Mytilus edulis: one gene and its partners. The protein of the gene in region 1 interacts with the protein of each later gene in a pairwise test. Links are inferred from orthologs where the notes say so. Each region holds a gene or a part of one and is shown on either strand. Other genes may lie near its edges.

The links.
Region 2: the proteins of huntingtin-like (region 1) and protein tumorous imaginal discs, mitochondrial-like interact in binary tests that used the Homo sapiens proteins (3 or more experiments, as listed by UniProt). The link is inferred for Mytilus edulis from reciprocal best matches to the Homo sapiens genes HTT and DNAJA3.
Region 3: the proteins of huntingtin-like (region 1) and mediator of RNA polymerase II transcription subunit 31-B-like interact in binary tests that used the Homo sapiens proteins (3 or more experiments, as listed by UniProt). The link is inferred for Mytilus edulis from reciprocal best matches to the Homo sapiens genes HTT and MED31.
Region 4: the proteins of huntingtin-like (region 1) and huntingtin-interacting protein K-like interact in binary tests that used the Homo sapiens proteins (3 or more experiments, as listed by UniProt). The link is inferred for Mytilus edulis from reciprocal best matches to the Homo sapiens genes HTT and HYPK.

Annotation. Positions count from the first base shown.
Region 1 is NC_092347.1:34,305,805-34,314,153, reverse strand, and holds the start of huntingtin-like, read left to right. Parts: upstream 1-4,791; 5' UTR 4,792-4,953; intron 4,954-8,349. Other genes in the region: peptide-N(4)-(N-acetyl-beta-glucosaminyl)asparagine amidase-like, read left to right, coding at 558-730.
Region 2 is NC_092351.1:74,633,025-74,641,240, reverse strand, and holds the start of protein tumorous imaginal discs, mitochondrial-like, read left to right. Parts: upstream 1-4,532; 5' UTR 4,533-4,557; coding exon 4,558-4,714; intron 4,715-6,843; coding exon 6,844-6,986; intron 6,987-7,725; coding exon 7,726-7,809; intron 7,810-8,216. Other genes in the region: coronin-7-like, read right to left, coding at 493-592, 1,985-2,047. UniProt on the Homo sapiens protein: Modulates apoptotic signal transduction or effector structures within the mitochondrial matrix. Affect cytochrome C release from the mitochondria and caspase 3 activation, but not caspase 8 activation.
Region 3 is NC_092349.1:27,276,498-27,284,918, reverse strand, and holds mediator of RNA polymerase II transcription subunit 31-B-like, read right to left. Parts: upstream 3,459-8,421; 5' UTR 3,389-3,458; coding exon 3,355-3,388; intron 2,457-3,354; coding exon 2,382-2,456; intron 1,677-2,381; coding exon 1,580-1,676; intron 917-1,579; coding exon 721-916; 3' UTR 455-720; downstream 1-454. Other genes in the region: integrator complex subunit 2-like, read left to right, coding at 3,550-3,836, 4,807-4,945, 5,802-5,904, 7,037-7,150, 7,728-7,858, 8,253-8,421. UniProt on the Homo sapiens protein: Component of the Mediator complex, a coactivator involved in the regulated transcription of nearly all RNA polymerase II-dependent genes.
Region 4 is NC_092354.1:40,489,075-40,497,929, reverse strand, and holds the start of huntingtin-interacting protein K-like, read right to left. Parts: upstream 3,459-8,855; 5' UTR 3,363-3,458; coding exon 3,210-3,362; intron 390-3,209; coding exon 282-389; intron 1-281. UniProt on the Homo sapiens protein: Component of several N-terminal acetyltransferase complexes. Inhibits the N-terminal acetylation activity of the N-terminal acetyltransferase NAA10-NAA15 complex (also called the NatA complex).

The DNA of each region.
Region 1 (8,349 bases):
TCATCATTCAACAACTTCCTGTTTACTGAACACTTACATAATTTTACACAAATTGAAAATTTGCTTCACATTTTTCTCAGGAACTAGTCCGAACTACATTACAAAGATTTCTGAAATTTGGTTCAGGATTTTGTACTGTGTTTTTTCAGATTCATCACTCCACAACTAGATTTATGTCCATTTCAACAAAACAATATTTGTTACAAAAAATGAAAAAGACTGAAAGTGGCTTGATTAACATTGTTTAACGAAAAAGAATGTAATATATCATTATTCTAATTTCTTATAGGGTTAGAATCAGTAAAACATATTTATTACAAACAAAATGACTCAGAAATTAACAACTATAGGTCAGAGTACAGCCTTAAACAATGAGCAAAACCCATACTGTATTGTCAGCTATAAAAGGCTCCAAAATGACAATTGTAAAACATATCAAACAAGAAAACTTGCAGCCTTTTTATGTACAAATTAAATAAATTGATAAGCAATTTAGTTTTCCATTTGAATTTTGTTTAAATGGATTTTTTTTTATAGTTCTTAATATTCTTTTTCAGGAAGTAACGAGTTTCAGACAGTACATGACCTTGAAGGAGAAGATGGTATGACAATCACAGCTGATCTGAGTGGAGGGAAGGGAGATAATGCATGGCAACATACCCAGTTATTCAGACAGTCTAATACTGATTTGGAATTCTGTCCTTTTGAAGTCAAAGTACATTTTGCATAAGTGTTTTGTTATGAATAGTATTATTGTTTTTCAAAGTTTTTTGAAGTTGTTGCATGGGAGATATTGAAAAAAAAAAATCAAATTTGGTAGTTTTCTTTCAATTTTTCTTTAAACATAAATTCATAGATCTAACATAGTTAAACTGGAATTGCTGATTTGAAATTTATGAAAGTATTATCATGTGCAATAAGAAGACAATATATAATAAGCTAACATTTTGGCATCTTCAATTTATTTCAAAGTGCTGCTTAATTTTGTGATCCTTCAGATAATCATTGTGCAATGATATTGAAGTTCAGAATGGTTCATTTTTTGCCTGTGAATGGTTATATATGTAAAAAGTTATTTATAAATATGGTCATTATTTATTAGAATTATATTTTCAAAATGTTTACTTTTACAAATTTTTCCTAATATGAAAGTGATATTTATACTACAGAAGCTTGAAAATCTTATGATTGATGTTTATAATCATGTTTTTTTCAATAGAAAAAGATTGCTTGATATCATAAATGTTATATTTGTAATACTGATTCATGACTTTAATAGTTTTAAGGGGGCCATTGAATTTGAGGCCATGGGAAGGGATCTGTCAATTTTTAAGATATAATACTTACACATTTTAATTTAAGATTTAATTTAATATAAATGTTATTGGGATTTTTAGTTTCAAAACTTACTCAGACATTCAATTTTCATTTTATTTTTGGGGAACATAATCAGACAATTATCCTGTAGTGGGAAAACCCCTCTTAATGTGAGGGTGAATGTACACATACAATTTTTAGATGTTATATAATTATCATTATTCCACATTCCTGTTTATTTTGAAGTTTTTTCTTACTGAAAAGGAAGCTTTAAAAGGAGCATTGGAAGAACAATCATTGTGATGTAATTCTGGTCAACGTTTTTACTTTTTTGTACTTTTTCTATTATTGAATTAGTCTTTCATCTGACAATGTGTATTTATATGTGTTTGACCCAAAAAAAGCTATATATGAGATTGTCTGTATAAATACCTTTATAATTTAATGTACATTGGAAAGCTATCATAGCTTCATCTTAAATTTGTTGAAATTAATGTGTATGAATGATTGAAATTGAGAAATGAATCCTCTGATGAATTCATAAATTTGTATAATTTTCTTACAATTGAAGGGAAAAGACTTTTTTCTATGATTTAAACAAATTTTGATTTTATACAGCTGAATTATAAAGTTTAAAGCATTTTCAAGGGCATGCTATCTTTCTTATTTTTCATGAAAAAACTTCAAATTTACTACTGAACTTTGTCTAAAGCTGCCTTCTTAAAGATATATAAATAAGTGTAAGGCTGTATTAAGGTATGTTTTTTTGATTATTATTAAATAATGATTATTATAGTGTTATTGTAATACTAAAAAATCTGTGTTATTGTTAATGATCAAATTGTTTTTTTTTTCTGCATTTGACAACATAATAAATGAAAGATCATAGCTAATATTTGTCTTCATTTCTATACATGCACCTCACAGCGCTATTCAGTGACGTGAGAGTCATATAATTATAACAGCTGCAAGTTTTTGGTTTAATCCTTTGTATGGTAATTTATTTTTCATCTCTACAATTTTAACACAATATAAAAAAAAGATGTGGTATGATTTCCAAAGAGACAACTCTTCACAAGAGACCAAATGACACAGAAGCTCACTACACTGTCCACTTGTTAGCTCAAATTTTACATGGAACAAAGTTGTGAACAAATGGAGAGTTTAAATGATGTGCTGTTTGTAATAGGTCATTCTAACAATTTGACCTGCTGCTCAATACTGACAGGGGCGGATCCAGCCATTTAAAAAAAAAGGGGGGGGGGTCCCAACCCAGGATAAAGGGGGGTTCCAACTATATGTCCCCATTCAAATGCATTGATCGGCCAAAAAAAAAGGGGGGGGGTTCCAACCCCTGGAACCCCCCCTCTGGATCCGCCACTGACTGAACACTTGATTCTGTGGACCTAGAAATTTATTCTTGCAATATTCTTGTTCCCACAGCAGATCTTAATCTTGAGAAAGTAGATATCATATACCCTGTAAGCAATCATATTCAGTTGAGACTTTAAATAGGCACATACAATGTTCTTAAAAATAACTTTTTATGCAAGATTGCTGGAATGTGTATGAAGGGTGATGCCCAGTAATAAATATGAATGAATGGGCTTAACTTCAATGAAACAGCAACACAACACAAAAAACAACACAAAATGTTCTGGTCTTACAAGATAAATTGGTGTCAATACACTCTAAATCCACCCCAAGGTAAATACAGATTAGGAATAACAGATGCTATCAAACTGTTTCCAACATCTTATTCTCTAAAATGAAAAACACACTTTATGATGTGAAAAAAATACTGCTAACAAGGTTCCTCACTTTTGAAAGGCTCATTATAATGCCATAAAAATATGTAGCTTATCTTGCCCAAGAGGTCAAGCGAGCTATTGCCATCAATTGTAGTAATTTAAAAAAAAAAATCCCCTCTTAAAATACTGGGCCAAACATTACTTTAGCCCTAGGATTACAATGTTCTATAATAGAGTGACATGGGCACAGCCATTTTGGAAGAACAACACATAGAGATAAAATAAGCTACATGTGATTAGTAATTATATCATTTGCATATCTTTCTTCATGAAAGCATTATGAGAAAAGCTTCATGCAAGCACAACATTATCTTCAGAAGTATATTATTAAACCTTGCTGTGAAGGAGGTTGTACACTGTTTTTCCCCTTTCTGTATGTCTGCCCATCCCTCCCATGAATATCTGTTACAGATTTCTCATGATCTACAGATTAGAGCATCCTGAAATTTGCTATCAGGCTTCATATGAACATGTCAATGTGACCTACCGAATAAGACTATTTACCGGATTTGTAATAACATAAGCAACACGACGGGTGCTACATGTGGAGCAGGATCTGCTTACCCTTCCGGAGCACCTGTTTTTGGTTGGGTTCATGGTGCTTAGTCTTTAGTTTTCTATGTTGTGTCTGTTTGTCTTTTTATTTTCAGCCATGGCGTTGTCAGGTTATTTTCTATCTATGAGTTTGACTCTCCCTCTGAAATCTTTCGTCCATCTTTTATGCTATATGATGCAGTGTCTGTTTACACAACAATTTTATATTTAAGATTTTCAACCTGTATTGTTTTGTTGTTGCTAAAACTTAAAAAAAAGAAAGAAACTGTAATTGGCAAAAATGTTCAGCACTTTGCATCAGTCAATATTGCCAAAATTGTCAACCTATTCCTCATACTAGGAATGACAATTTCTTCTGAGGCTTTGGTTTGATATTTCAACCCTCCCTTATTAAATGAAGTCTTGATCAATGGACCAGCAAAAGATACATAAAACTAACCAATAACAATTGAGTGCAGGAAAACCAAATATCTGAAAATAAAATACAGGTAAAAAAATAACACAGAAAATATTTAACAATGTTATACATATCAAAGACATTGAAAATGCCTTGCAGCAATGCCACACACAGTACAGGAATACAAGATCTTTTTCTTTTGAAAAAAACAAACAATAAAATTTTAAAGCAGATTAACCAATACAGACACAATATGAATCTGCAAATTGATGTTCATGGATTCCAAACAAATATCTGAATCATTGAACAACAACTTATTTATAACCTCTATCAAAAAGTCTGTCTTGTCAAAGAGAGTTTAGAAGGACACTTTCTCTACTTGTGTAAGCTTAATAGACAATATATCGGGGAATTTTGATGTAAAAAAATCTATCAAATTCCTGCTTGGTTAAAGCATACTTCAACTATCAATAAATTTGATAAGATTAAGTGAAATTTTTTCAATGAAAATAATCTGTTTATTAAAATCTGAGTAAGTGACATTTGTTAACTAGCAATGATGCTTTTGTAAATGCCATCATGTATAAAATAATACTTGGTAGTATTCTTTCTAAACCATTTCGGTAAGGATAAAATGCTTGTGGCGAACTTAAATCGGGGACGAAACCACATTCAGGACGAACTGAATTTTGGGTCGAAAATACATAGATTAGTGACCGTAAAATTAAACTTCCGGTCTAAGATATTGATCAACCTGACCACTTACTGAAAGAAAAACATAGTGAAAGCTACAATGACAGCAGTTGTTCCTACATTTTCGATAGCCCCAGCCTTTTATCTGACGTTTTGGTGATCCACGTCCGAACAAGAAAGGTTAAATTTTACCCATTTCTTGTCAAGATCAGTAATCATACCAGCCTTATGACCATGATAAATTATTTCACGCACACGGACATATTATATTTTTCCCCAATTGTCGAAACCAAAATGCCATCGTTTGCTCGATTTAACATTGCCAGATGAACCATCATCACTGGATTCTAATTTGCATTGGCAGCAACAGGTGTTGCAAGTGGATAGCCTGAGTTTATCCATACGACCATAGGCATAGCCATGACGAATGCTAGTCAATTCGTTCCAAGTCCGATTCGTTCCAAACCAGTTCGTTCCAGATTTGGACAATTCGTACCAAGTCAATTGTCAATTCGTACCAACTAATTTATTTTATTATTAATCAGACTTAACAATATGTTCCAACTTTTTTATAGTGTGTATGTCCGTAAATCACTGTATTTGTGTAAATCAACCCACTGCACGGCAAAAATCGTCAATTTTTTTTATGTATATTTCATATAATAGATCGTTTTTCAATCAGTCTTAACAATTTGTTCCAACTTTCTTACACTGTCCGTATATCACTGTCTTTGTGTAAATCAACCTATAGTTCACGGCAAAAATCATCAATTTCTTGTCAATTTTTATGTATCATATTTAATATTTTCATATTAAAAGATCGTTTTTCAGTAATATCTATGGCTTCTTTTTTGCATGTGCGATATGAAATTTCATGATGCGTTTATGGTTCGATTTTAACAAATATTTATGTTGAATTACGCAGATTTATATGTACAATATTTGTTTATTTAGACATAGATTTTTTGGGTTGTCTTTGTTTTTTTCTCCTTTTCTTGTCAACTTTTATCATATTTCGGTATAATCTGAATGTCTTTTCCAATAAAAAAAAATAAGTTTAAGGTTTACATGTTTATTTGATATCATGTCATTGACACATATACTAATAACAAAATATAACAATAACAGTTCAAGTTCATGGATAATTGATCAATAGTCTAAATGACTTGTAGTATTTCAGAAAGTTCATTCTACTGTTCAACGGACGGCACTACGATAAGTGCAACGGATGTCATCAGCTGGGTTACTGTAAGCTGCTGGCTTCTGTAACTGTCCCACAGCTCCATCAGCTTAGACTGTGATCTCTCTGTGGCTGCTCTTTGGTAGCGCGTGAGTTTATGCTCCGACACTAATTGGATCTGCATGGGTAGGTACCTGGCTTCATCACTCAGAACTTTCAGCATCACATACAAGTGAAGGCTGGCACCCTTGGCCTTGCGGTTTAGTCTGTTGTGCCAGCCTTCGACGTCGTTGTTAGTGCGAATGGGTTGGCCAAAAACAGTCCAAGCACTGATGGGGAAGATGGTGCTACCTATCCATTGAAATACAATAATCAATTATAATAATAACGAATTCTTTGAAAATAACACTAGTTAGTACTTTATTCATTTTTAAAATATTAGATTGTCATGAAATACTTAATAATTAATATTTATCAATATATCATACCCAATATACCTTTCTTCCTAATTAATAAATCATAGATTTTTATTAAAACTAAGTATTTATTTACATTATATATATATAAGTACAGCATTATAAATTAAAATAATAAGGCTATGCAAATGGTTAATATTGTTTAATACTGTTGGAACGAACTGACAAGTTTTGGAAAAAGTTGGAACGAATTGTCCAAGCAACTTGGGACAAATTTGTTGGGACGAATCGGAGTTGGAACGAATCATCCAGATACCGCCATGACATAGGCACTTGTTTTCTAGTCCAATTAATTATGATGTCTTGAAAGGTTATTAGATATTTTTTCTTTGACGCGTTACGTCAAAGCAACATTTTTAAAAAGCCTTCCAAGACGTCATAATTATTTTGACTAAGGCACTTGTCTCTGATAAAAAAATTATTTCATTCCACGGTTGTCGTCTACTTCTGCCGGATAATGACCACAATCAACTAACTGAATTTTTTGTACATACAGGCCCCACCCCCTCCCCCCATTTTATTTTAATTTAGTTCAGCTTTGTCACTGAGGCTTTAAAAGCCTTGACTGACGGTGCTGATACAACCCCAGGAGGTAGAGAGTTCCAATCTTGAGGGGATAGGAGGGGTCCTGATCCCGAAATCCCAGACTTAAAAAAACGAAATCCTGAGGTCCCGAATTTAAATAAAGTAAATCCCGAAATCCCAAAAAGGGTCAATCCCGAAATCCCGAGCTTAAAAACACCCAATCCTGGAGTCCCGATAAAGGTCCTATCCCCCCTCAATCTTTGATGTTTAGCGGAAAGAATATTTCCATTAATCACTTGTAGCTGATGGAATTTTGAAGCTTCTGTCATGCATATTTCTTGACAATCATTTAGGTTGCATCAGAAGATCTTCCTTTGTCTCTGCAACTTTTTCATTTACAATTTTGAAGAGCATGGCGAGTCTTGCATCTTTTTGCCTTTTTTCGAGGAATCTCAAATCAAGATAATTAATAATCTTGCTTACACTTGAGTGATTAAGATGTTTGTTCATCACATATAATTTGGGCTGGACCATCTCTAGTCAGTCAATCTCAGTTTTATTGTATGGATCCCATACTGGACTGGCTGTCGAGACTGTGATTGGTCTTGCTAGTGTTTTATAGGCATTTTTCTTTACAGAATTAGATCTGATATTCAAGTTTCATTTTAGGAAGCAGCTTGTTCTTTTGGCTTTGTTGCAGACCTTATTTACATTCCATTTCAGTTGAGATGTGAATGTGCAGCCTAGGTATTTGGCACTTTTGACAGGTTCTAAAGTGTGACAATGTAGTTTGTAGGATGTTGTAATGGTATTGTTTTTCCGGCTGATGATAAAGTACATTGCACTTGTCTGGGTGGAAGGCCATTTTCTATTTGGTTGCCCATGTAGCTAGTTTATCAAGATCTGTTTGTAGGTTGTTCAAATCTTTGTAGTTTGATATTGTCAGGTATGCTATGGTGTTATCTGCATGATGGATTTAATATCATCAGTCATTTTGTTGATGTAGAACAGGAATAGGGAGGGCCAAAGGACTGAGCTTTGGGATACCCAAAATTCTACATCAATATGTGATGAGCTCTCTCCATCCACTACTACTGCTTGTGTCGGATGTGACAGGAAGCTAGCAATCCACCTATTGACCTTTCCTCTGATTCTAGAGCACTCAAACTTGTTATATATATGTCATAAATCTACAAAATTGAGTAAAACACACCAATATTTCTGTTGTCAGAACCATATGTAAATTCCTACTAATAAAGTAAAAAGTAAATTATTTCATATTCTCACAGAGAACACTTGTTAGCTAGCCTTATCAACCTTCTTGCTACCTGTAGTTTTATATGTTTGCATACATGTACAAGAATCCGGAAATTTTTTCACCTAATTTCGGTCATT
Region 2 (8,216 bases), on another chromosome or scaffold:
TTTGATGTGGTTGCCACAAGAGCTTGGTAAACTTACCAGAAGTATTTACATTAAAGGCCATATATTGACAGCTAGCTTTGATGTGGTTGCCACATGAGTTTGGTAATCATACCTGAAGTATCTACATTAAAGGCCATATATTGACAGCTAGCTTTGATGTGGTTGCCACAAGAGTTTGGTAAACTTACCTGAAGTATCTACATTAAAGGCCATATATTGACAGCTAGCTTTGATGTGGTTGCCACAAGAGTTTGGTAAACTTACCTGAAGTATCTACATTAAAGGCCATATATTGACAGCTAGCTTTGATGTGGTTGCCACATGAGTTTGGTGAACTTACCTGAAGTATCTACATTAAAGGCCATATATTGACAGCTAGCTTTGATGTGGTTGCCACAAGAGTTTGGTAAACTTGCCTGAAGTATCTACATTAAAGGCCATATATTGACAGCTAGCTTTGATGTGGTTGCCACAAGAGTTTGGTAAACATACCTGAAGTATCTACATTAAAGGCCATATATTGACAGCTAGCTTTGATGTGGTTGCCACATGAGTTTGGTAAATTTCCAGCAGATATGTCTCCAATCCATTCCTATTGAAAAATCAAGCACTTTAGACATGTTAGATATTGCAATTTGCAGATAAATTATAAATTCAGATATTATAGAATGCAATTATTCAAAGTGATGGTTGTAAAACACAAAAACCTAAGATTAAACTTATTGCTATTTCCTGCCACTACTGCTTAGACATAATGATGTCAGATTCTGCTTTTTGAGGAACATATTTGATTACATTTTTTTAAATTGATAATCATAAAAAAAGCACCAGATTCTGCTTTTTGAGGAACATATTTGATTACATTTTTTTAAATTGATAATCATAAAAAAAGCACAACAAACAGTATTGAAATTTATAATATTCAACCAGCTATAATAACGACTGTATAGTCTTTTCAGCCTTAAGGGAAATGATATTCTTCACATTGCAGGCCTGGCTCTTTAATGTCTTATTTGATTCATTCATGAATTTTTAAATTAACTTTGCTTCCTATACATTCGTATTGATACCGGGTAAACAAATAACACACAAAAAAATTATGATTTATTAAACTGTTTTATTTGAGTTCTTGTTGTGAAATAACTCAGATTTTAGTATGTGTAAGATTGAACTGTAATATTTATACGTTTTGTGATGTTGCATGGAATTTTACACTTTTTTCAGAAAGTAAAATTTGTTATATGTCTTCCCGTACGAAAAAAATCCAGGCGTATTTTACACGGATTCCAGACAGATTTTTTTAGAGGGAATCCTTTAAAGTAACCTTTTACACAAAGAATCTTTCTTACATGGATTCCAGGCGGGTTCAGGGTGGAATAGAGCTGAAATATGCAAATTTATCCACCTGTCTTAGGGGGAAAAAAATCCGCCTTGTTAAAAGGAAAAAAATTTCTAAAAAATATATCCGCCTAAAGAGACGGAAAATATGTCCGCCTAAAGAAACGGAAAATATATCTGCCTTTAGATTTAATACCATGATTCATATTCTGTCATATTTATTTTGTTTTGTTTGCGTCATAAAAGAAATATTTAAATAATGTGAATTTTGAGGCCCCTCATGGGGGGGTCCTAGTAATCACATAATCACCATTTTTTTGCCAATATAATCACATAATCATTAAATATTTGCTTATCTTTAGTAATCAAATAATCATAAACTAAAAATACAGTCCTAGGTAATCAAATAATCATGAAATATTTGGCTTAATAATCAAATAATCATTAAAAAAACGGCCAAGTAATCACATAATCAAAAACCCCATGAGGGCCCTCAATTTTGACTCGCTTGAAGCTTGAAAGCCGACTAAGTGACCTTTTCTAAAAAAATTATGATTTTGGAAATGAAATACCTTTTAGCAAATTATTAGTTTGTTTGGTTTATTTTTTCTTTCTTAGTGTGACTTAATACTGTATTATAGATTACCTCTCTTTTAAGAAGTTTTGGTGCTGAATTCTTGTACTTCGATGCCTTAAACCTCCAAGCCATTACTGCTTCCTACAATGAATATAAAACTTAATCATTACTTGTTGTCAACTTTAAAAAAAAACACAAAAATATCGTCAAAAGGACTACAACAGTAGTTTTAAGAATACTTTTAAAAGGCTAATTGAATCTGGAATGATTTGGATATTTTATCTGACATGATACTTTTTTTTTTATCAATATTCAAGAATTCAAAATTATTCGAGATTGAAATAATTCCTTGTTTGTGGTATAATGGCCAATGAGACAACTATCCACCAGAATTCGAAAAAAGCTCATATAAGGAATCATTGGCGACCATTTAGCCTTCAACAATGAGAAGATCCATATATTGTATAGACTAGTCACCTATAAAAGACCTCAATGGCATATGAAAGATAAGAAACAATTCAAACAAGAAATTATCAGTCTAATATATGACAAAGTGTGTACAGTTTTGCTGGTTTGTTGAAAACAGGACACCCTATAATAATATGGGCATGTACACTATTCTGACTCTGTCACAGTCTGTGCAATAACACATAAACTTTATGCCGAGTTTTTAGGAGAGAAGCAGCACATACCAATTCTAAAGTCTTTGACCTGGGTTCAAACCCCAAATACCAGTGCCAGTGCCCCTCCCCCTCCCATTTATGAACATTTCTAGATCCGCAAGGCGCCACTATAACCCTTCTCTATCCACCATTACTTGACTTCATAAAGGTTCACATCAAATTTTGATGTCATTATACAAAATATGTGACGCTTCAATGGAAAATTGATAGCTCTATGACATCAATAGTTAAAGCAGGACAGAGTCTCAGGTCAGCAGAGGCAGAATTCCAGATAGCAATAAGTATAGGCAGTGTCTGCGCGTACCCGCATACGGGTACGAATAGTCAAATTGCCGTTCTATGCTGCGCGTACCCACATCCGGTTTTATAATAAATATATATATATAGGTAAGTGAACAGTTTTTTCTCAGTTAGCAAATATTCATAAAATTGAAAAGTGATATTATAACTGTGGGGAAGACTTTAATTTATAATTTTGTTCATTTTAACCTGAATATGAATACCTAAAATATTTTATTATATTTCAGGTGCAACAGTAAGAGTAGTAAAAGATGAATCTGGTGTTTTGAATGAAATATTTTTCCAGGATAAACCATTTGCAAAATTTCTTTGATAAATATCCTGAAGTCTTACTTATTGACGCAACTTATAAATTGAACATGTTGAATGACTTACGACTGCCTCTTTTTATTCTTATGTGCGTTGACAGGAAAACAGTTTCTGTTTTACATTTTACTGAAAGATTATTTTAAAATAGCATATGGGTATATTTAAATTATTAAAATTTTATTCTTTAAATTTTCTGTGATTTAAATTTTATAACAGTATTAATTTCTTTCATGTTTTTCTTTTAAAGGGACTGTACAGCACAGGCACTAGACGTTCTGTCAATAGTATAAAAATATTGGCAATTGGAAGAAAATAGTGTCCATATGGACACTATTTTCTTCCAATTGTGTCCATATATATAATATATTTTTATACTATTGACAGAACGTCTAGTGCCTGTGTGTACAGTTTCATTTTCCATCATTGTGCATTTAATTTTGCAATGTTTATTATCATTATTTAATTAATACAATTTGAAAATAATATTTTTCATACTCTTCACTCGTTCTACACGAAATCCCCATATTATCGATAATTTTTGTATATATTTCACGTTTCATTCCCGATCTGATGGCATTTTAATAGAAAACCGGATGTGGGTATGCGCAGCCTAGAACGGCAATTTGACTATTCGTATCCGCATGCGGGTACGCGCAGACACTGTCATAAGTATAATCAATAAGGTGTTTTATGAGAATGAGTCATGGCTCATGCACAGTTGTTCATTCAGATATATTTCAGTACCCAAGATATCTCTTGAATGAGTATAATTTGAATTTAAAATAAATATCCCTGCATTGACATTAACTGTTTGCTGGTGTCTCTTTATGATCTGTTTATTGGGCAAAAGTATAAGCAGATAAGGGGCGGATCTTGGAACAACATGATCAAGGACATGTACATTGACAACAGATTTATATGAAGAAAATAAGCTTGCTTATTCTCTTCACATTTTTAAATATGTTCGGAAAGCTTGATTTCAAATCTGTAAGTAATTACTGTTAGGTTCTCCCTTTAAAACTGTTTTTCAATAGACTTTGTCGTCTGTTATGAATTTTACAGGAAATCAGTTTATCAGGTTTGAAGTTTCCGGCTTTTGAAGTATCGCGGGGATTTCCGAGATTAATTGAGAACCGTCTGGGATAAAGAGCAGACGATTTTTCAATTTTTAAGTCGAATTAACCAGACTAAAAATTCAATTTTACTACCTAAATGAATATCAAACATTGCAAAACGAATTATTTTATATAATTTCGCTGTTTACTTCTATGATCCCAAATCTATAGAATTACATAATTTGTGTTTCGGTATTGACTTTTTATAAACCTCTTGATTTTCAGCAGACGGAAAATGGCTGCTCTAAGGGGAGCATGCTGTCGGCTTGGAAATAAGAAACTAAATGCAACAGTGGTTGTTTCAGGGAAGTCTCCCTTCCCTGACGATACATTTCATCACATCGAAAGGCGTTGTTCCTCATCTCTAATTTTGAAATCAACTTCCAAAACAAGTAAATCTTTAAATATGCACTAAACATTCTGCATGACCGACAAGGTCGAAACGTCCCTGCTTAGAACTTAATTGCGTCATATGTATTCAGGGTCTATTTACTCAATGATTGAAGTTTTCTATAGAAATGATCGAAGAAATCCATAAGTAAAGCCATCTGACATGTAGTGTTGACATGTTTTGTTCCTTTATTTATGTAAAAGATCCTAGAGGTACTAAAACAAAAACCACAAGGGCTTGTTTTTAGTGCTGTTGTCTGACCGACTAAACAAGACCCTGTGAAGATATCAAATGGGCATGCAAACTCATAAATCAAAAACAAACTGACAATAAAAAAAACCGACAGTACTGAAAGAATAAAAAAATCCATAAGAAGAGCAAAACAATTCTGACCAACATTATTATGGGGGTAGGTGTAGTAAGCAGATCCTGTTCCACATGTGGCACCTGTCCTCTTGCTTGTGTAAATGCTAAGCACTTTTGTTTGAAAGGTCACATTTGTGGAAAAGAGGCCAGGACTGTTGTTAACCACAAGCAGAATATAATAAAAAATGTTTAAATGTTTGAAAACTAATCAACCTATTATCTGAGATGGCTTGGTAAAATGTAAAGATATAAACTCTTAAACTAACCTGGTTTTAAAGTCATCCATACTCTACATGACTTGGCACCATTGCGCACTGGAAACAATTATAAAATTTGTATGAAGATAGTCATTCAAAATATTCTGTCTGGTCAACATTGAGGCCGAGAAAAAAAAATCGATGTTTCCGGTAACCCGACCGACCCTGTTTTATAGCCCTGACCCTAACTTTTTTATTGGATCTTCAAAAAAAAAAAAAAAAAAAATTGTATCAACCGACCCCATTTTTGACACAGGCTTCTGATAGATGACATAAGGCCGAGAAAAAAAAGATCGATGTTTCCGGTAACCCGACCGACCCTGTTTTTTAGCCCCGACCCTAACTTTTTTATTGGATCTTCAAAAAAAAAAAAAAAATTGTATCAACCGACCCCGTTTTTGACACAGGCTTCTGATAGATGACATAATGTTTTTTCTCTCTTGCTTCTACTTGCATAGAAAGCCAGTAAAACATTTTATTAATGTCAAAAGGTATTCCAAATAGGTTAAAATCCCAGAAATTTGCACAGCAGGTGCTTCAAAAACATTGCAAATGGCACACTTCCGGTTTTTGAAACTAATTACGGATCCGGACTTGGAAAAACCATGATAATTTTCCGGATTTCATTTACGATGTCAAAAAAAAAAAAAAAAAAAGAATTCCGACCTACCGACCCTATTTTTCAAAATGATGTTACCGGAAACACATATCTTTTTTTTTTAGGCCTAATATTTTTTCTCTCTTGCTTCTACTTGCATAGAAAGCCAGTAAAACATTTTATTAATGTCAAAAGGTATTCCAAATAGGTTAAAATCCAAGAAATTTGGACAGCAGGTGCTTCAAAAACATTGCAAATGGCACACTTCCGGTTTTTGAAACTAATTTCGGATCCGGACTTGGAAAAACCATGATAATTTTCCGGATTTCATTTACGATGTCAAAAAAAAAAAAAAGAATTCCGACCTACCGACCCTATTTTTCAAAATGATGTTACAGGAAACACATATCTTTTTTTTTTAGACCTGATAGGAGTGTATTATGGTTCCTGTGTTAAGAAAGTACTGAGGTGTCAAAGCAATAAATATCTATAAGAGAGCCGTGGTGTAGTGGTTAGTGCATCAGACTATTAACACAAAGGTTCCTGCTTCGATTCCCGTTCCGGGATGAAAATTTCAAGTAGTGAATTATCGGTTCTCCCTTGACACCATTTGCAAGTATGGTCTTGAGGAAATGATGATGGTCCGTTGGAAGGGGACGATAAATGACTGACGTGTGTTAAGAGAGCCATATCTAGATATCTCTTATAGCTTGCAAGTAAATGACATCCTTGTAGATTTTGAAAAAGAGCAGGCTAATTAATGCGGCTGGGCAGCACTCGCGTCTCCAAAGTGGAAAGGGATAAATATAAGATGCAATAACAAATGAATAACTTGTTTCCCAATCTACTATAAATAAATATGTTTAAACTAATAAATATCTATATATATATATCTTACTGTAATTTCAGATTTATTGTCTGTTGCTCACAAAACCTGTTGTTTACATAGAAAAATTCACAGAAGTTCACCAAACAACAAAAAAGACTATTACGAACTTTTAGGGGTTCCAAAAAATGCAGATGCTAAGGCTATTAAAAAAGCTTACTATGAGGCAAGTATAACATGTATAATAAAGTAACTGACTGGATAGCCTTAATATTATCGGTGGTGATTGGTATTAGGCCAAACAAAAAAGTATGTGTGTTTACTGTCACATGCTGGAAAAAAAACAAGGGTAGGTATTTTTTTTTTTTTTACATTGAGTCTTTGGGAGCAACATTGTGACTTTATCAGTGTTTAATCACAAATGGCAAAAAAAACTTAAAGATAAGGGATACAAATTAGGGTAGGAAGGGGTACAGTAAACACACATACTTTTTTTTTGCCTTATTTTCAGGGGTCACACATTTCTACTTTGATACTTACATAGTGCAATGAAATAGTCGGCTAATTGATCATAATTTTGTTATCAAATGATAGAAATCAACCTCATGCATGTGTACATTTACAAAACTTTGATTGATTTACACGATTTAGGAACATATGTATAAAAATAAATGATGAGCATGATGAATGTTCATGATGTTGGTCTGTTGTTTAGGGTTTTTACATAACTCACTTTTTATTTTATGAAATCGTGAAAATAACATATTTGTTTTTTTTATCACACCTTATGTGAATCTACCTACTTTCCAGCTATACTTCTAAAGAGATCCTGATTAGGGATAACTGCACAGAGTTACTAACATTGCTAACCAAGATGATATATTTTTTCAAACATTGAAAAAAGTGAATTTTGTCATACTAGTCAATATTAATCTATTCTAATATCTGTATTTCTTTTATTTTAGCTTGCCAAAAAACACCACCCTGATGTGAGCAAGAATGATGCTGGATCTGCTAAAAAATTCCAGGAAGTGTCAGAAGCCTATGAAGTAAGGACTGTGCAAGGAAAAGATAGTTTTATAAACACGATAAACCTCTAAATGAGATATAATACATTTATAAATTCCATCAATACAAACTGACAGTCACAGTATAGTGTTTAAAGTGGCATTAAACACAAATCAATCTATATCCGTGTTGTAGTATGATTGCCAAAGAGGCTACTTGACACCAATTTTTGTGGATTTGGTGGGTATAGGTAAATTGCAAATTGAGATGTTATGCGAAAACAAATTTTTAAAAGGTTAATCTTCAGTAATTTGCAAAACAGTGAAATCAAATATCCACAAAATACAATTTCCCTCAATGCACAAAAATTGGTACTCATGAAACATAAATGAATCAACAGCATGAACAGTAGAGAATTTTTTTTCTAACAGCAATTATCAACTCTTGT
Region 3 (8,421 bases), on another chromosome or scaffold:
CAGACATTAACAACTATAGGTCACTGTACTACCTTCAACAATGAGTAAATATTGTGCCTGCCAAATATTTGTATGGAAACTTGGTTATAAACATGATAAATAAAGCTATATCATCTGTTCACATTAGATTTAATATTTCTTCTAAAAATAAAATATTGTTTGTTTCCCCAATCCCGACTGACCCTGAAAATGTGGTGCTACATATAAAATTGTATTGTCAAATCTAAGTCCAATATTATTTTATTCATTTCTGATTTTCAGGCTTACCTGATCGTCCGATAATGTTCAAACTGTTTGGAAAATTAAAATTATTTCGCTACCTACATGTACCTACCCATATCTGGCTGCGGAGGATTGGGATTGGGGAAACAAACAATATATAAATTTAGGCCCTATTTGGGAAATGTTTGGAACAGATATCAAAAAGAAACTTCTGTTCAATGAAAATACAATATCTCTATACAACATCTCTTTATTTTATACAGTTTATAAAACTGCCTAAAAACTATGAACAGAGATGAAAAAATTTCCTGCTAAATACATCATGTACATGTTACGTCTATGACAAGTATCAACCTCGGAAAAATTTTACACATAAAAATGTTCGTTTTGGATGTTTAAGAGATGACAATAATTTTGACCATCCACATAGCTGCCATTACAATTCAGAGAATATCTCTGACCGATTAATTTTAAATCAACACATTTATTATTGCTGTGTCAGCTAGTTTTATCTTTTTGATCTTGTTTGTGTCGTTCCGCTTCATCGATCAATAACTTCATGCGTTTCCTCTGATAATGCTGCCAATGTAAGAGTTGCTGATCGTCTATAAACTTAGCACATTGTGAATTCACTAATTCTTTTCTAAAGTGTTCATATTGTAGCAGCTCCAATAAATGTAAACATTGGGGATATCTGAAAATGAAATAAAAATAATGAAAACAAATTAAATATTGCAAGAGATAATTACAAACTAGTTATACAATGGGAAAGTCTTAATCTTTAAAGCAGATATTGCTTGGTGTATCATAACTCATACAGTGTTTATTTGTCAACTTGTAACATGAACATTTAACATAACGTCATAAAGAATTTGCAACTCCTTGTGTGTACTGTACAAGGCATATCTGTCAACTTCTGGAAATGAAAATCTCATTCATATCCTGCATTGAGCAAGTAAATGTCAGGTCATAATGAGAACAATTTTTTTCTGTTGAATTTATAATTATTTTTTTTTTCGTAAAATATCTACTACTGTGGATATATTGTTTTTTTGTGGGGTACTAATTTTTGAAGATTTCGTGGGTACAGATAAACCACAAGTATAAATGTTCAAAGAATTACAGATTTTCTATAACATGTATAAGGATGTACATTGTATTGGCAAAATCACGATATCAAATAGCCACGAAAATGCAAGATTTTCTTAATCCACAAAAATTGGAACACATAAAAAAATCCACAAAAATTGGAACACATAAAAATCCACAAAAATTGGAATACACAAAAATAAATGAATCTACAGTATAACAAGATTCCTACAAAAATTCACTATTGTACATTTTTGTACAAACTTACTTGAGGTATTTAGCATATTTAGGTTCTTTCCAGTATTGCAGGTATTTAAGGTAGTTGATAAATGTCTGATCTTTGAAGAATCCTCTCTGTGCTAAAACTATAAAAAAATAAAATTGAACAGTATATTTTTACAGCTCTGTTAACTTAAAACTGTTCACACAACACATAACAAGGATAAAATATGCAATTGCAATCTTAATAAATCAATGATAAAAAAATTACATGGCTCATATTGGGAGAGAAAATAATAACTGAAAATTAAAGAATTCTTGTAACAACTCTCATGACTCTTTAAGGGGTCTTTGCCAGTTTTGGTGGCACGTACATTGCAGGACAAAAGTTCTTTTGCTATGCAAACAAACTTTTTTCAAATTGTAGCCAAGCTTGTATTACATGTATTTAAATCAGTGGCAAATCGTCAGTGTGTATTCCTTCATGTAATATAAAAAAATATATCTTCATGTTAAAAATAAACTTTTGAGATATCTAATTATTGTCATCTGGGCAGTTTTGTTGCAAATGACTGAGCATCTAACATAGAATATTAACAGTTACAAATTAATATTAACAGTAGATGTCATCCAACCTAAAAAGGTTTTACATTTGACATTCAGTGTTGCCCTTGCTCATCGATACATACCTAAGTTTGTTTCCGTTCTCTAACTTAAGAATATAGGTGTTGTCACTTTAACAGTTGTGGATGTATGTCACTTTACAATGTTATATGCAAGTATGGGGCATCATCTGTCCCAAAGACACATTCTCAATTAGAATTGGTTTTTTACTGTCATTGTATACTCACAATTAAGGTAATTCGGATTAGCCAAACATTGTACAAATTCTAACTCTGTCTGAAATCTCACTCTTTCATCTGCTTCTGAAAAAGAAATTATTTTTTATTTAAAAGATACAGCATTCTTAATGATATTCAGTGTTTTCCCCAAAAGATGATTTCCATTCTTTGTAAATTCAATCATGTCAATCCTCATGACCCCATTTATAAAAAAATTTCTTTCTGGAAACATCTTGCTCAGCTGATCTTGCTATAATTTACGTTCTATTCCATCTTGTCTCTCCTTGTAAGAAAAACTACATATAAGGGTAGTAATGGCCTTTACCATCAGGCGTCAAATGTTCAATTCCAGCTACCGTTAGCGTCAAATTGGTTAAAATTTTACAGTGAATCGTCAAAATATCCTTATGGTGAACCGTGATTCGTCAATGGTGTCAAATGATTATCCTTACCGTCATTTTTGAGAAAAATTTAACGTGATTCGTCAAAATCAGTCGATTTTTTTATCCCCTAAAAGAAAGTATACATTTTAATATCGTCATGCATCTAAAATTACCTTTTACGTTTAAATTTGGCTAGAATTTTATCGTTATTCGTCATGAAGGTATCCCCATTACCACCCTCATATATGAATACAATAACATATGATCTGACCAATTATTTGGTGTTTAGGAGAAAGGCTGGACCCATGTATGTGTATAACTGTTTGTAGTAGAATGACCAAATGGCAGATAAGGGTAGAACTATACAGCCTTAGCCACCTTATGGCAGGGTCATAAAATATATTTATTGAATGAATTAATGTATTTTTGCTGTTTGAGTTGTGAAAAGCTTTGTATCCACTTCAAACTGCTTTTCATATTGTTCTGGCATTGATAAGTATTTATGAACAACAATATGCATGACAGAACTATAAGGTTAGAGGGGAACTATTTATTTTGGGGTCTGTTGTTATCTAGAGCAACATTAGCACTTATTTTACCATGGGAGGAATTCTGTCTTGCAGCTGCAGCCATAACAAAAATATGATCTATGTCTTCTTCGCGCTTGTAAGAAACGCAATTACAACAAAGCGTCAGACTGACGTTGAGAAAGCAAAATGGCTGCCCCCATGAAAAAATTTTGACTTTTAAAATTTTTGTAAATCCTTTACATTTTTTTAGGTTTAGCAATAACAATGCAGAATCTAAAGTGTAGTGTTAAACCCGAAATCTTCAGAGCAGTACGAGATGTTGACATCTCTTCACTGAGTGATTCGAAGGAATTTGATTTGCGTCCAGTTCTTCCATGTCTTGTTAGAATGGCTTTGTGTAAACCACTTGATGAGAGCTCCAACTGGACAAAAGCTAAAAAAGAAGTCTTAAAAATCTTATCTGGGATAGAAGTTGTGAATGGCATTGTGGCATTGCTATCTATTGATTTCCATGCTTTAGAACAAGACGTTAAAAAAGAACAACAGCTCAGGTACACCCCTAAAAACAGTAGTGAGTTACTGAGTAAGGCACTGGCTACAATCACGTTGCAATAATATGAGGCAGGCATTACCCGTGAAAGAGGATAAAGTTAATCATTTTTTTTTATTTCAAACATATTTAAAAATCTGTTCAAAAAGAAACGAAAATATCTTACAGTTTCCTATGTTGGTCCTGTTGTTAGGCAGGGTTCTCGCTAAAGCGAGTCCATGAGTCCTAGACTCATCAAAATCTGTTTGGACTCACCATTCTCAAAACTAGTGAGTCCAAAGATGCATCAATATTGAAATATTTTGTATAAATTGAACACAGTAAAACACAAATATCATCATGATCATCATTTTATAGCAAAAGTTTTAAAAGTAATCTGAATTTAATGTCATTTCATTGCTCTGTTAGGCCATGGAGGATAAAATATTACATTATATTGCAATAAAATATATTCTTCTTGCTGTTGGACTCACCATGGCCAAAAATGACGAGTCCCTGGACTCGCCTTCAAAAATCCTTAGCGAGAACCCTGTTAGGGATTTTAGTTGTGCATCATTTAAGTTATGACTTCATTTTCATTGTATACAAAGAATTAATAAAAACAAAATTGTTATTCTGCTCCTTCCTCATGTTCCTCAATAACAATAAATGAATTAACATACATGTATATTTTATTCAGTCTCATGACAATATTGAGACCAGAAGAAAGAAAGACATTTCTGCACAAATGCGGGAAAATAAAAAGTTCATGATTTTGAGTTCATAGGTACATTGATGTTTTTTTATTATTGATTTTCCTGCTGCAATTGGAGTTTTTGTCCCCACAATAAACATGATAAAAGAGTTATTGTACATGTAAGTATTGATGAGCAAATTGTTTTCCAGATTAACTCTCCATACCTTCAGAAGTGATGACATATTTGTTTTTTTCCTTGATAATAATCTTAAATTTTTTACCTTATTCCTTGCAGGACAAAGATTGGTACATCACAGACTGACAGTGTCCTGATATCTCAGTTACAGTGTGGGCTTGCTATGGAGTTTGAAAGAAGTGACCATGCTCGTAGAATTCGTCTGCTATTAAGTGAACTTCTCTTTGTAGCATCACAGGTTAATTATCTTATCATTTGTAAATTGAGCATGTTAAACAATCAACATTGAATTTTCAATGTTATTCTATTGTGAATATTCAACTTCATTAAAGACATCAAAAGTTTTAATTAAGTAACAACATTATGTATGAGAATCAGAGGGAGGTATCAATTTTCATGCATTAACGAAAACTTGTGGATGTTTTTAAAAATTCATGGTATTGTCGAAGTCTGCATACAAGCATAAAGAACATTTATCATTCTTACAAAATTTAATTTCATAGTTCAACTGTACCCACGAAATCCACAAAAAATGGTATTTAATGAATAATAAAGAATATGCAGTATACCAGTATATACTGTTGAGTGAGGGTTGAAGACTGTCAATTTTTAACATTTAAGGAATGACTGTAATATTTTTTCTGTCTATGAAGAAATAACATAAAAAATGTGGTACACACTGAATAACGCGCGTAGCAGGTTATTTAACAGTGTGCACCACATTTTTTAGGTTATTTCGAATAGACAGAAAAAATATTACAGTCATTTCTTATAATTTAATTCTAAATTCCATTTTAAACTGTAGAAAACCATGAAAAAACGTTGATGACGTCACAATCACATGACTAAATTATGTCTATGGGCTGATAACAAAATAACGTCAGCCAATCAGAAGACACGTTACATCCAAAATTAAATTATGTTTTATAAAGAAATACAATGCAGTTTCTATATAAACCAGATTTGTTTAGTTTCTGCTTCAAAAATGATGATGAGAGTAGATCTACATGATCTATGTTATTGTGTTTGGCAACCAGCGTTTATAATGAAAAAAATTATACTTTTATTACAATGTCAATATTATATTGCTTCAGATGAAAGAAAACAAGGCAGAATTTTATTTCAAGTCATCAGAATTACTGGAGAGCATTGTTTACCTTGAAGAAGTATCTGATGTATTGTGTATAGCACAAGCAGGTAATATACATTAACGTTGTAAACCATACTTTGACCTTATGGCTTACTTTTATAAATTGTGACTTGGAAGGAGAGTTGTCTTATTGGCACTCATACCAATTCTTTTTATATCTATGTAATAGAGATAAGAAGATGTGGTATGAGTGCAAATGAGACAACTCTCCTTCCAAGACATAATGTTTAAAAAGTACAATTTAAGGTCTTAGTACAGCCTTAAATACAGAACCTTAGCTCACTCTGAACAGCAAATTTTAGATTTAAGGGCCCCAAAATGACCAGTGTAAAACAATTTAAACAGGAAAACCAACTATGATTTATATTAAAAAGAGAAAGGAGAAACACCTTTGAAACACAACGGCACACAACAACCACTGAACAACAGACTCCTGACTAAAAACAGGTGCTTGAAAATGCAATATGTTTAAATGTTTAAACTGGTGCCAACCTTCACCCTTGTCTGAGACAATTTTGTAACATTACAACATAAAAGGACGCTATAAAATATTCAATTGAAATGACTTTAATTGATCAAAAAGACATTTAAACAAAAACAAGTAAGCATACACTGAACTGAACCAGTATATATTTGTTTAGGGGCCAGCTGAAGGAAGCCTCCGGGTGCGAGAATTTCTGGTTGCATTGAAGACCTGTTGGTGACCTTCAGCTGTTGTTTCCCCTCTGGTCGGGTTGTTGTCTCTTCGGCACATTCACCATTTCCATTCTCAATTTTACTGAACAAATTAGTTTGATCTTTGACACACCCTCACACAATAAAAATACAATATTAAAACATAGGTCCCTGTATAACACAGACTTTACAGTTAGTAATAAAGAAGATGTCAATAAGTCAACCCTTACCTGGGACAAAATGACATTAAATGAAACATAGAATAGTTGTAAGCAGTAATAAATTGTTTTTCAGAGTACGAGTACAGAAGTGTTACATATTAGAAATAATGAGATGAAATGTAAAAAAAAAAGTAACAAAAAGTAAAATCACAAAAATATCCAACTCCAAGTGAAGTATAGATTTATATCTTGTTTTTAGCAAATGCAGGTACATTGCTTGTTGAAGAACTGCAAATACCAAAATAAGAATGATAATAGAGAATAATTTTTTGTATATTTGTAGAGCTTCCTACATTACTTCAAATAAAAGACGTAGCTGAGACATTGTTACACTTACCAAATGGAGGCTGGTTGTTGTGTCGTCTGGTGGCTAACTCTCCAGACAGCTTTAAAGAAGGTACATTTGAAGCTGCTCAGGCAGAAATCTACCTTATGCAATTGCATGTAAACATGTACCTGTATGAAACTTTTATTGATTTTGGAAAATTGAAATATGAAATAAAAGATAGAATTAATGTTTGTTTTGTGGGGTTCTTATATCAAATCAATTTTTAAACCTTTACAGATATAATAATTTGCATAGAAACTTTTTCAACCTGAAATATGTAAACAGATGAATTGATATTCATTTGCATAAGATCAAATTCTTTCCGACGCAAGTCATTTGATTTAATTTGAGTTGGAGAAGTCTTATGCATTTACTGTTGTAATTATTCATTTATTTAAAGATTGATTTTGAAAGCATAGAACTAATTTTAGATAAAAAAAATTCTTAGCTAAGAAAATATTTTTAGATTCACTATATGAACAGCACTGAGTTTCAAACGACAATCAATATTAAATGATGTTTAGAATTAAGTGTATATTATAACACTTAGAAATACAAAAATGTGGTTAACAAATAAAATTAAAACATCTTTTAACATTAATTGACATTTGTGCGATTAGCAATTTCTACCATTCCTTTCTTGTAGTATGTACCAGTCTGGTGGCCAATGGAGAAACACAAGACGAAGAATCAATGAGTGGAAGAAGGAGAATGGAAGTCTTGTTGAATCTGTGTACCATGAATCCTGGAGAAATGTTAAACATAAGGGCTCTTTGTGTAGGTTATCTGTCTGTCTATACTAAGGATATATTGAGTGTTTGATTGTATCTTGTATAAGGTCTACTGTAAAAATTGCTTACATATTGATGATTTAAACAGTTGACCATGAAGCATGAAAATTGTGTCAAGCAAAATCATAAAAAATAGATTTTTTTTTTACTGTTGACAAAAAGGACATGTTGGATAGAGATTATCTAGATATATTTTGAGATAACCCCTTAATTAAGCTCTGTTCATATTTTGAGATAACCTTCTACTAAAGCTCTGAATACATTTTGAGATAACCTCTTACTAAAGCTTTCTTTACATTTTGAGATAACCTCCTACTAAATCTCAGTTCACATTTTGAGATAACCTCTTACTGAAGCTCAGTGATATTTTTTTAATTCAGGTTGAACATTGCACAATGCCTGGTTTAGCTGTGGCCTTAACATTGTTGACAAGTAAAGATTATCACGGTGTTGCCATGGATATCAAAGATAAAACAGCTGATGTTATTGCTTTTGTGTGTGGGTTGTTGCTAAGCAACAATTTGAATGTTCGAAGCTGGTTTTCACAAT
Region 4 (8,855 bases), on another chromosome or scaffold:
AGTGTGCTAGTGACAAAATACAATAAATACGGCATCAGTAAATTCAATACGAAGCTCGAACCCCATATGGAATTTACTGACCATGTATATATAGTATTAGGTCACTAACACACTTTGTAACTAATAATATCGTTTTAGTGGTTAATATATGTAATATATGTCTATTGACATATGTGTGTTTATCTGTATGGCACGTTTATATGTATTTACAATTTTTATTTATTTAAAGAGTTTACTCCCTTAAGTGTTCTGTGTCCTTTCAGAACTTAAGTTTTACTTACAATTAGATCCACATCCTCTTTACTTATTTTTATCTTTGACAATTCTTTCTCTCTTGCAATGAATTCTGCTCTTTCTTTGGTCTTTTTCTCTGTTAATTTGTTCATAGCCTGAAATAAAAAATAAATAAATATGAGCTTATTAATATAATCTTATTTCATTAGGGTTGCAATTTCAGCACAATATCTTCAACCTTAACAAAAGTTTTTTTTATTCAACAACTACATGAACTAGTCAAGTATTCATTATTCAGTCGTTAGGGGACTAAAATTAAAATCCTTCCACCCACCCAATATAGTTCAATAATCTGTATGAAAATCTACCAATTATTTTGAGTTGGTCTTAGTTTATGAAAATATAGTTTTATTTTATGAGGAGGGTAGGAGGGGTCCTGATCCCGAAATCCCGGGCTTAAAAACCCAAAATACCAAGGTCCTAAATTTAAATAAATTTGAATCCCAACATTCCGAAATTCGAAAAAAAAAATTCCCGAATCACGAAAGGGTCAATCCTGAAATTCAGAGCTTAAAAACACCCGATCCTGTAGTCCCGATAAAGGTCCTATCCCCCTTCTTTTATTATGATAAAAATTTCAAATGGGCCCCTGAAAATAAAAAAAATTAAGGGTCCAGCTGGCCCCTAGAGGAAATCAGTTAAGTTTAGTCCATGATTCATATATTGTAATCTTGCGAAATCCAGACCCATAAACACATGGCAAAATCATAAGCATGATAAACCACTCATTTATTCCTCAGTTATCACTAATTATTTATATACCTCCATATAGAAAGGTATCAGGTCCGTTCGCGCCCAATATAGTTTCGCACCCTACACGTTCGCAACTCACATTTTCGCCCCCGAAACATAATCCGACTTAAAGCAAGGACTTTTTTTTTATAAACTTGTCATGACACAAAAAAACTTGTCAGAATCTCGAATTATTTAAAAACATGGCATATATATTTATACCAATACACCTCCAAAAAATCGGTAAAATTAGGTGCAAACATGTGGGGTGCGAACGAACTTTTCCGCAAAATTTAGGTGCGAACATGTGGGGTGCGAAAGTGAATGGGTGTGAATGTGGAAGGGTGCGAACGTGATTGGGCGCGAACAGACCCGGATTCATATAGAAAGAATCCCCCCCTTTTGTGGACTTGTAGTTGCACATATTTATATGATTCAATGTTCAGCCAGTTTTTTATTAACGGATGAAGCCAGGTGCCCAGTGAAAACCACGGACTTGGAAAGTGAAACTGACTACCCATGTAAATTAACATTTGAGTCAAGTGCACCAGCATGAGCTTGGTTTCGAATCCGGGTCCGTCCGCCCTGATTTTTGTTCGCCCTAGTAACTGTTCGCCCTAGTTCCGTTTCGCCCTGAGACCGTTCGCCCTGATACCTGTTCGCCCTGGGTATGTTCGCCCTGATTTATATTTTTTATTATAGTGTTGTGTTGTGTGTATTTAATTGAATATGTTCAAGTCAGTCTACAAATTTCAGGATAAACAAGGAGAAAAACATATGCTACATGTAAAGTGTAGCAAGGCACTTGTTTTAGTGGTGTATTCCTTCGAAGGTCTTGAAATTACATATTGAATGATTATTAACTTTTTTTTTCATTCACGATGAACATGACAACCGGCGAATAACTAACATTTACTGTATTCTGAAGTCTTCATTGTAAATGAACAGTATTTGGTTGATTTTTTTTATATATAAACTGACATTATGTATTAACTAACAGACATATTTCTCTGGAATTAGTGATTCCTTTAAATATTTTAAATTCCCTGCTTGTGAAAACGTACTATGAATTTAAAATAGCGAGAATAAAACTTGTGAACCACATGTCTTATAAATTATTTTCTGTGCACTATAATGTATAAATGTAAATGCATATTTTGTTTTGTTTAGTACCAAAGTCAATGGACATAGTCGTAGGGGAACATGTCAACACTTATAAATGAGGGTTTGAATGCTTAGAATGTGATTATCAAATATTTAGTTTTTAATCATTGTCGCCCATAATTTGATTTTCCTTTATTTTATAATTTAGCACCATTTTAAATCCATATTCTTTCAAATTTAAATTAATTTCAGAGCCGATAAAACCTCACCCAGGCCCTCATATATACAATGTACTAGAAATTATTCTGACACAAAATTAACTAATTGACCTAATTCAATAGTAAAGTGATTTAATCAGGAGACTCGTGAGTTGCATCCTCATCTATTCTACTCACTGTTTTCGCTTGCAATGGGGTAGGACAAAATAAATCTGTTGTCGATTTCCTTTTACTCTGACAAACTTTAATTACAGAAAACTACCGTAAAGGGTATTTCCAAGTAGAGGAGGGAAAATTAATTCAAATGTTCCCATAAGTCTTTAATAATTCGTAAAGGGTATGAATCAATAACCGCGCCAACAAGACATATCAAGTTGCTACATTATTGTTTAGTAGCCAGTTTGCTGCAATGATCATTTAAAAGAAAATACAGTGAAGGAAAAAAAAAATTTTCTTTTTTTTTTACTGAGGCAGTTGCCTCGGTTGCCTCAACGTAAGCTATGCCCCTGTTATTAATAGATAAACATAAATTTTTATATATATAAATATACATTTCTTTTATTAATGTAACATTTACATATCATTAATGAGAATAGGGCGAACGAACTCAGGGCGAACGGATTACCAGGGCGAACATGTAATCAGGGCGAACGATCCCGATACCCTTGGTTTCGAACTCACAACCTCAGTGTTGACTGGATAGTCGCCGAGTCGGGGGTGTTCACTGCATATGAATCTTATATGAATTAGGGGGGGGGGGGGGGGGGGGGGGGGGGGGTAATTCAACTCAACGTTGTCACAATACTTTTTTCAGTTTTGAAATTCGGTTCTGCCATTTGTTTAAAGAATGCACCCACTTACATCACCAATGCTTTGTGCAGAGATTTCCGTTTCCTCGACAAAATCAGTGACTTTTTCTAAATCTGCCGCCCCTGAATCGTGTTTCTTTGATTTGTCCTTCTTACTGTCATCTTCTTGATCAGGCTCCTCTACTTGTTCTTCTTCAGTTGTCATGTTTTTAACTGGAAATCAATCCTCTCAGTGCAAAAATAATTTGTGATTTTCTTTTGGTATTTTCACGTGTGTTGTTTTGTAAGAACGATAACTCTGCAGAAAATATCTGAATACCGAATTAAAATACTGTCTAAAAACGGACAGAATTAGAAATTTATTTTATTTATTTTCCTTGATATTTTCGAATGTTTTTGTATCAAGCTTAACTTATTTCTGTTTTCTGTGAACGATATAATCACTTCTGAGGTGTAGATACGACCTTTATCGGGACTCTTGGATCGTACACCACTTCCGGAAAATAAAAAGGTAAACATTAACAAATCGCATACTAACTTGCTTTAGTTCTGCTTTACTTTTCATGTACTAATATTGCTCATTTGTCAAGTTCATTGTCCTCGTGGGTAGCAACACGAGTCCAGTATAACAAATCATTATTTACTAACGCTTATATTCAAATTTATGTCTCACCTTCTATGTTCGAGCACATCATATTAATAAACAGTTATAAACATTTTACCAATAAAAATGTCGTTATTTAGTACAGTACTCACACTGATAACAATTTATTGTGTGTGTCATGAAGTAGATCATAAGTTTGTGTCATTAGAAAATGGCAAAACTACAGGTAGTTCACCATTTATCAAATCTTACCCAAAAGACATTGAAGATCATAATGCTTTGTTATTTGTTCCAAAAATCAACATTACAGAGAACAAATTTGTATCCATGTATTTCTGGCTATACCACTCAAGAAAAATACACTGCTGCAATAAAGCATTACATTCAACTTTGAAAAACCACCACTTGTTGCTAAAAATTCTGTTAAGTGGCCAAATTGAACTCAACCCAGGCCCTAGAATGCCACGCTGGCCATGCGGTTCATGTGGAAAAAATGTCACTTGGAAATGTAAAGCTCTAGAGTGCGACTCTTGTAAGACTTGGTACCATGTAGACTGCCAAGGAGGTATGCAAACAACAATGTATAACATAATGGACAACAGTAACCTGTCCTGGAACTGTATTAAATGTGGACTCCCAAACTTTAGTAGTTCATTTTTCAACCAAACTGATATATCATCATCAGTCACAAACAATTCTTTTTCATTGTTAAGCGATATTGGTAGTCCTGGACAGCCACATGCTTGTTCATCACCAATATCACAAAAGGACATCAGAAAACAAAACAAAAAAGGTATAAATACCCAAAATAAGTTACTCAGACCTTTAAAAATAGTAAATATTAACTTCCAGTCTATTAAGAACAAAAAACCAGAAGTAGATATTTTGATTGATACCACACAGCCTGATATTATAATTGGTACTGAAACCTGGTTAGACTCAAAAACATCATCTTATGAATATTTTCCAAAAGATCATTACACAGTATTTAGAAAAGATAGACCACCAAATAAAAAAGGACAATGTCATGGAGGTGTACTCATAGCTATATCAAATAATTATTTATGTACAGAAATCAAAGAACTAGACACAGGATGTGAAATGATATGGGTAGAATTATCGATATCAAATGCACGTAAATGTTATATATGTGCTTATTATCGACCCCAGCCAGATGATGATACATCTTTAGATTTACTAAATGAATCCATAAGTAGAATAAATGTAAACTCAAAGTCAGCCATAATTATTGGTGGGGACTTTAATTTAGGAAACATCAATTGGGAAACAACAAGTGTCATCCCTGGAAAACCAAACCAAAAACAACATCAACAATTTTTAGATATGATAAATGACCATTCATTAGCACAAGTTGTAAACATACCAACTCGAAATGATAAAATTTTAGATCTTGTGTTAACAAATTATCCAGCCATCATTGAAAAAACTGAAACCATACCACCACTAGGTGAGGCAGACCATGATATTGTATATTTAGAATGTTTACTATCACTAAAAAGATGCCAAACCAAGCCACGAAAAGTATATAAATATAAAAATGCTAACTGGCAAAAAATAAAAGAGGATATAGACGGCATATATCAAAAGATCATACATAAAAAAGATAGTGAAGATACAAACACACTTTGGTTAATATTCAAAAACTCATTACAAAACACTATCACTGAGAACATACCACAGAAAATGATGAGAAATAGTAAAAATTTACCTTGGATAACAGACAGTATTAGACGGCAAATGAAAAAGTACAAGAAAAAGTATCAAAAGTACAAATTAAAAGGCAAAGGGAAACTAGACCAACTTAAAAAATTAAAACATGATATACAAAAACAACAAAGAACATCTTATTGGAATTATATTGAAAATATGATATGTGGGATACCAGTTGATGAAAACCCTACTACTATATCAAAGAGTTTCCCAAAAAATCTGTTCAGTTACATAAAAACACAAAAGTCTGAAAGCTCTAACATACCACCACTCCGAAAAGAGGGCTCACTAACATCTGACTCAAAAGCAAAAGCTAATATTTTAAATGAACAGTTCAAAAAAGCATTTACACCTGTAACAGATGACCCAATACCAGACAAGGGCGTCAGTAAACATCCGCAGATGCCTGATATTAAGATACAAAAACAAGGCATTGAAAAACTCCTAAATAATATCAACATCAACAAAGCTGCTGGGCCTGATCTCATCCATGGTAAAATTTTAAAAGAGTGTAAATCATCTATCTCTCCCATCTTATCAATCATATTTCAAACATCACTGAACTCTGGAAAGATCCCAGATGACTGGCGTCACGCAAGTGTATGTCCAGCATTCAAAAAAGGTGACAAACACGATCCTATAAACTATCGTCCAATATCATTGACTTGCATCTGCTGCAAACTATTAGAACATGTTGTAGCTAGTAGCATTATGAAACATCTGGAAAAAAATAAAATACTATATGACTTACAACATGGTTTTCGATCCTCCCGCTCCTGTGAAACTCAGCTAATATCATTTATTCAAGATCTTGCAAATTCAAATAATAAAAACATCCAAATAGACATCATAATAATGGATTTTGCAAAAGCATTTGATAAAGTTTCACACCACCACCTCATGTATAAAATTGGTTTCTATGGTATAAATTGTAATGCATATTATTGGATTCAAGATTTCTTAACAAACAGAACACAAACAGTAGTCCTTGAAGGTGAAACACCAAATAAAATTCCTGTAACATCTGGGGTACCCCAAGGCACAGTGCTTGGTCCAATTTTATTTTTAATCTTCATCAATGATTTGGCAGAATATATTGAACACAGTACATTAAGATTGTTTGCAGATGACAGCATTATTTATAGGGAAATTAAAAAACCAGATGACACACTTAAATTACAGTCTGACTTAGAAGCGGCCGGCAGGTGGGAGCAGGACTGGCTCATGCATTTCCACCCTGACAAGTGCAACATTCTCAGTGTAACTCAGAAACGCAAACCTTTAGACTTTACCTATAAATTACACAATCACTCTTTAGAAAAAGTTGACTCTACAAAATATTTAGGCCTAACTCTTCAATCAAACTTAAAATGGGACAAACATATAGATAACATGACATCAAAAGCAAACCAGTCCCTTGGATTTATTCGTAGAAACCTAAAAATAGCATCACCGAAAGTTAAAGCTCATGCATATAAAGCTCTTGTCCGACCAAAATTAGAGTACTGCTCAACAATTTGGGACCCACATCAAAAACAACAAAATTTACAAATTGAAAAAGTTCAGAGAAGAGCAGCACGCTTCTCATGCAACCGCTTCCATAACACCAGCTCAGTTACTGAAATGATGACAGACCTAAATTGGTACCCACTCGAAATTAGGCGTTTACGATACAGACTTGTTTTCTTTTACAAAATTATTCATGAAATTGTTGCAGTTCCTACACATAATCTTTTGATCCCACTTGACAATAGAACCAGACATAGCAATCCACACTCATTTAGGCAAATACAAACATCTAAAGACAGTTATAAATATTCATTTTATCCACGAACAGTTATAAATTGGAATCATCTGCCACAACAAATAGTATCATGCAGTACGGTAGAGGGATTCAAGAGTATGATCTCAGAATCTGCTCTAATCCCCATATTCTATCCCTAACTATTCTGTTATCAAATGTATATAGTTTTATCACAACTTATTTTTTCAAATGTACATACGTTATGTTGATTTTTTGATTTTGTTATTTTTGATTTTTTGTTGCTAAATTAGTGTAAATTATAAATCTTATAGTCGACGCCCGGCGAATAATCTTCAATAATTGAAGGATCGCTAGAAACCAAAAGAAGAAGAAGGGTGTTTAAGCTCGGGATTGACCCTTTCGTGATTCGGAAATATTTTTTTTTACTGACGGGATTTTAAATTTATTCAAATTCGAGACCTTGGGATTTCGTATTTGTAAGCCCGGAGTCATTAAGATCAATTAAGGCCGTGACAATCTAGTTCATTTAATAGGTAAGTCAAATATTTGAATAATGAAAAATTCAATCATTTTATAAATCTTTGTGCAGTCTTTTAGATTTCTTCGGATAAATCCCAATGTTTTATTTCCTTTGCCTACAATACTGACTGGCAATGTGTCTATCCCAAGATAGGTTGTTGCTGATTGTTACGCCTAGCTATTTGCTTGCATCAACATTGTCTAGTGTATGTCCGTGGATTTTATATGATGTATCTCTCACTTCTTTGTTCTTCTGAGCTATTCTTATAACTATGCATTTTTTGGCGTTAAAACTCATAAATTTGCCATTTATTATCCCATTCTTCCAATGATGTTAAGTCTTTTTGTAAAAGGTCGCTGTCTGCCTGGTTGTTTACTGTTCTAAAGAGTAGGCTATCGTCTGCAAATAGTTTTGTTTCAGATGATGTTGATGTTTCTGGCATGTTATTTATGTAGGTCAGAAACAATCATGACACTATGATAGCGGTCCAATAACTGCGCCTTGGGGGACGCCTGAAAGTACCGGAACTTGAGAAGAGACAGCTCCTTCTAATATTACACTCTGCATTCTGTTTTCAAGGAATGATTAAATCCATTTTCTAGCTTTAGGGTTTACTCCATAAAATTCTAGCTTATGTAAAAGGCGGTGGTGTGGTACTTTGTCGAATGCCTTTGCAAAGTCAAGAAGGATGATGTCGACTTGGGATCCTTCTTCCAGTTTTTTAGCAATGTCATTGATTGTTATTATAAGTTGCGATTCGCAATATCGTTTTTTGCGGAATCCATGCAATGCGTTGGTAAGTATCTTGTATTTGTCAAAATGGTCCATAATACTGCTGTGGACTATGTGTTCCAAGACCTTAGATGTGATGGAGGTTAATGATACTGGTCTATAGTTGGAAGCTAAATGTCTTTCATCTTTCTTGAATAGAGGTACCACGTTAGCGTCTCTCCAATCTTGTTGGACTTCTCCGGTGCTAAGGGATGTTTGGTACAGATCTGTAAAGAAAAGGAGCGAGTTGGTCTGCTGCTGTTTTCAGGATGAATGATGGAATTGAGTCTGGACTAGTAGCTTTGTG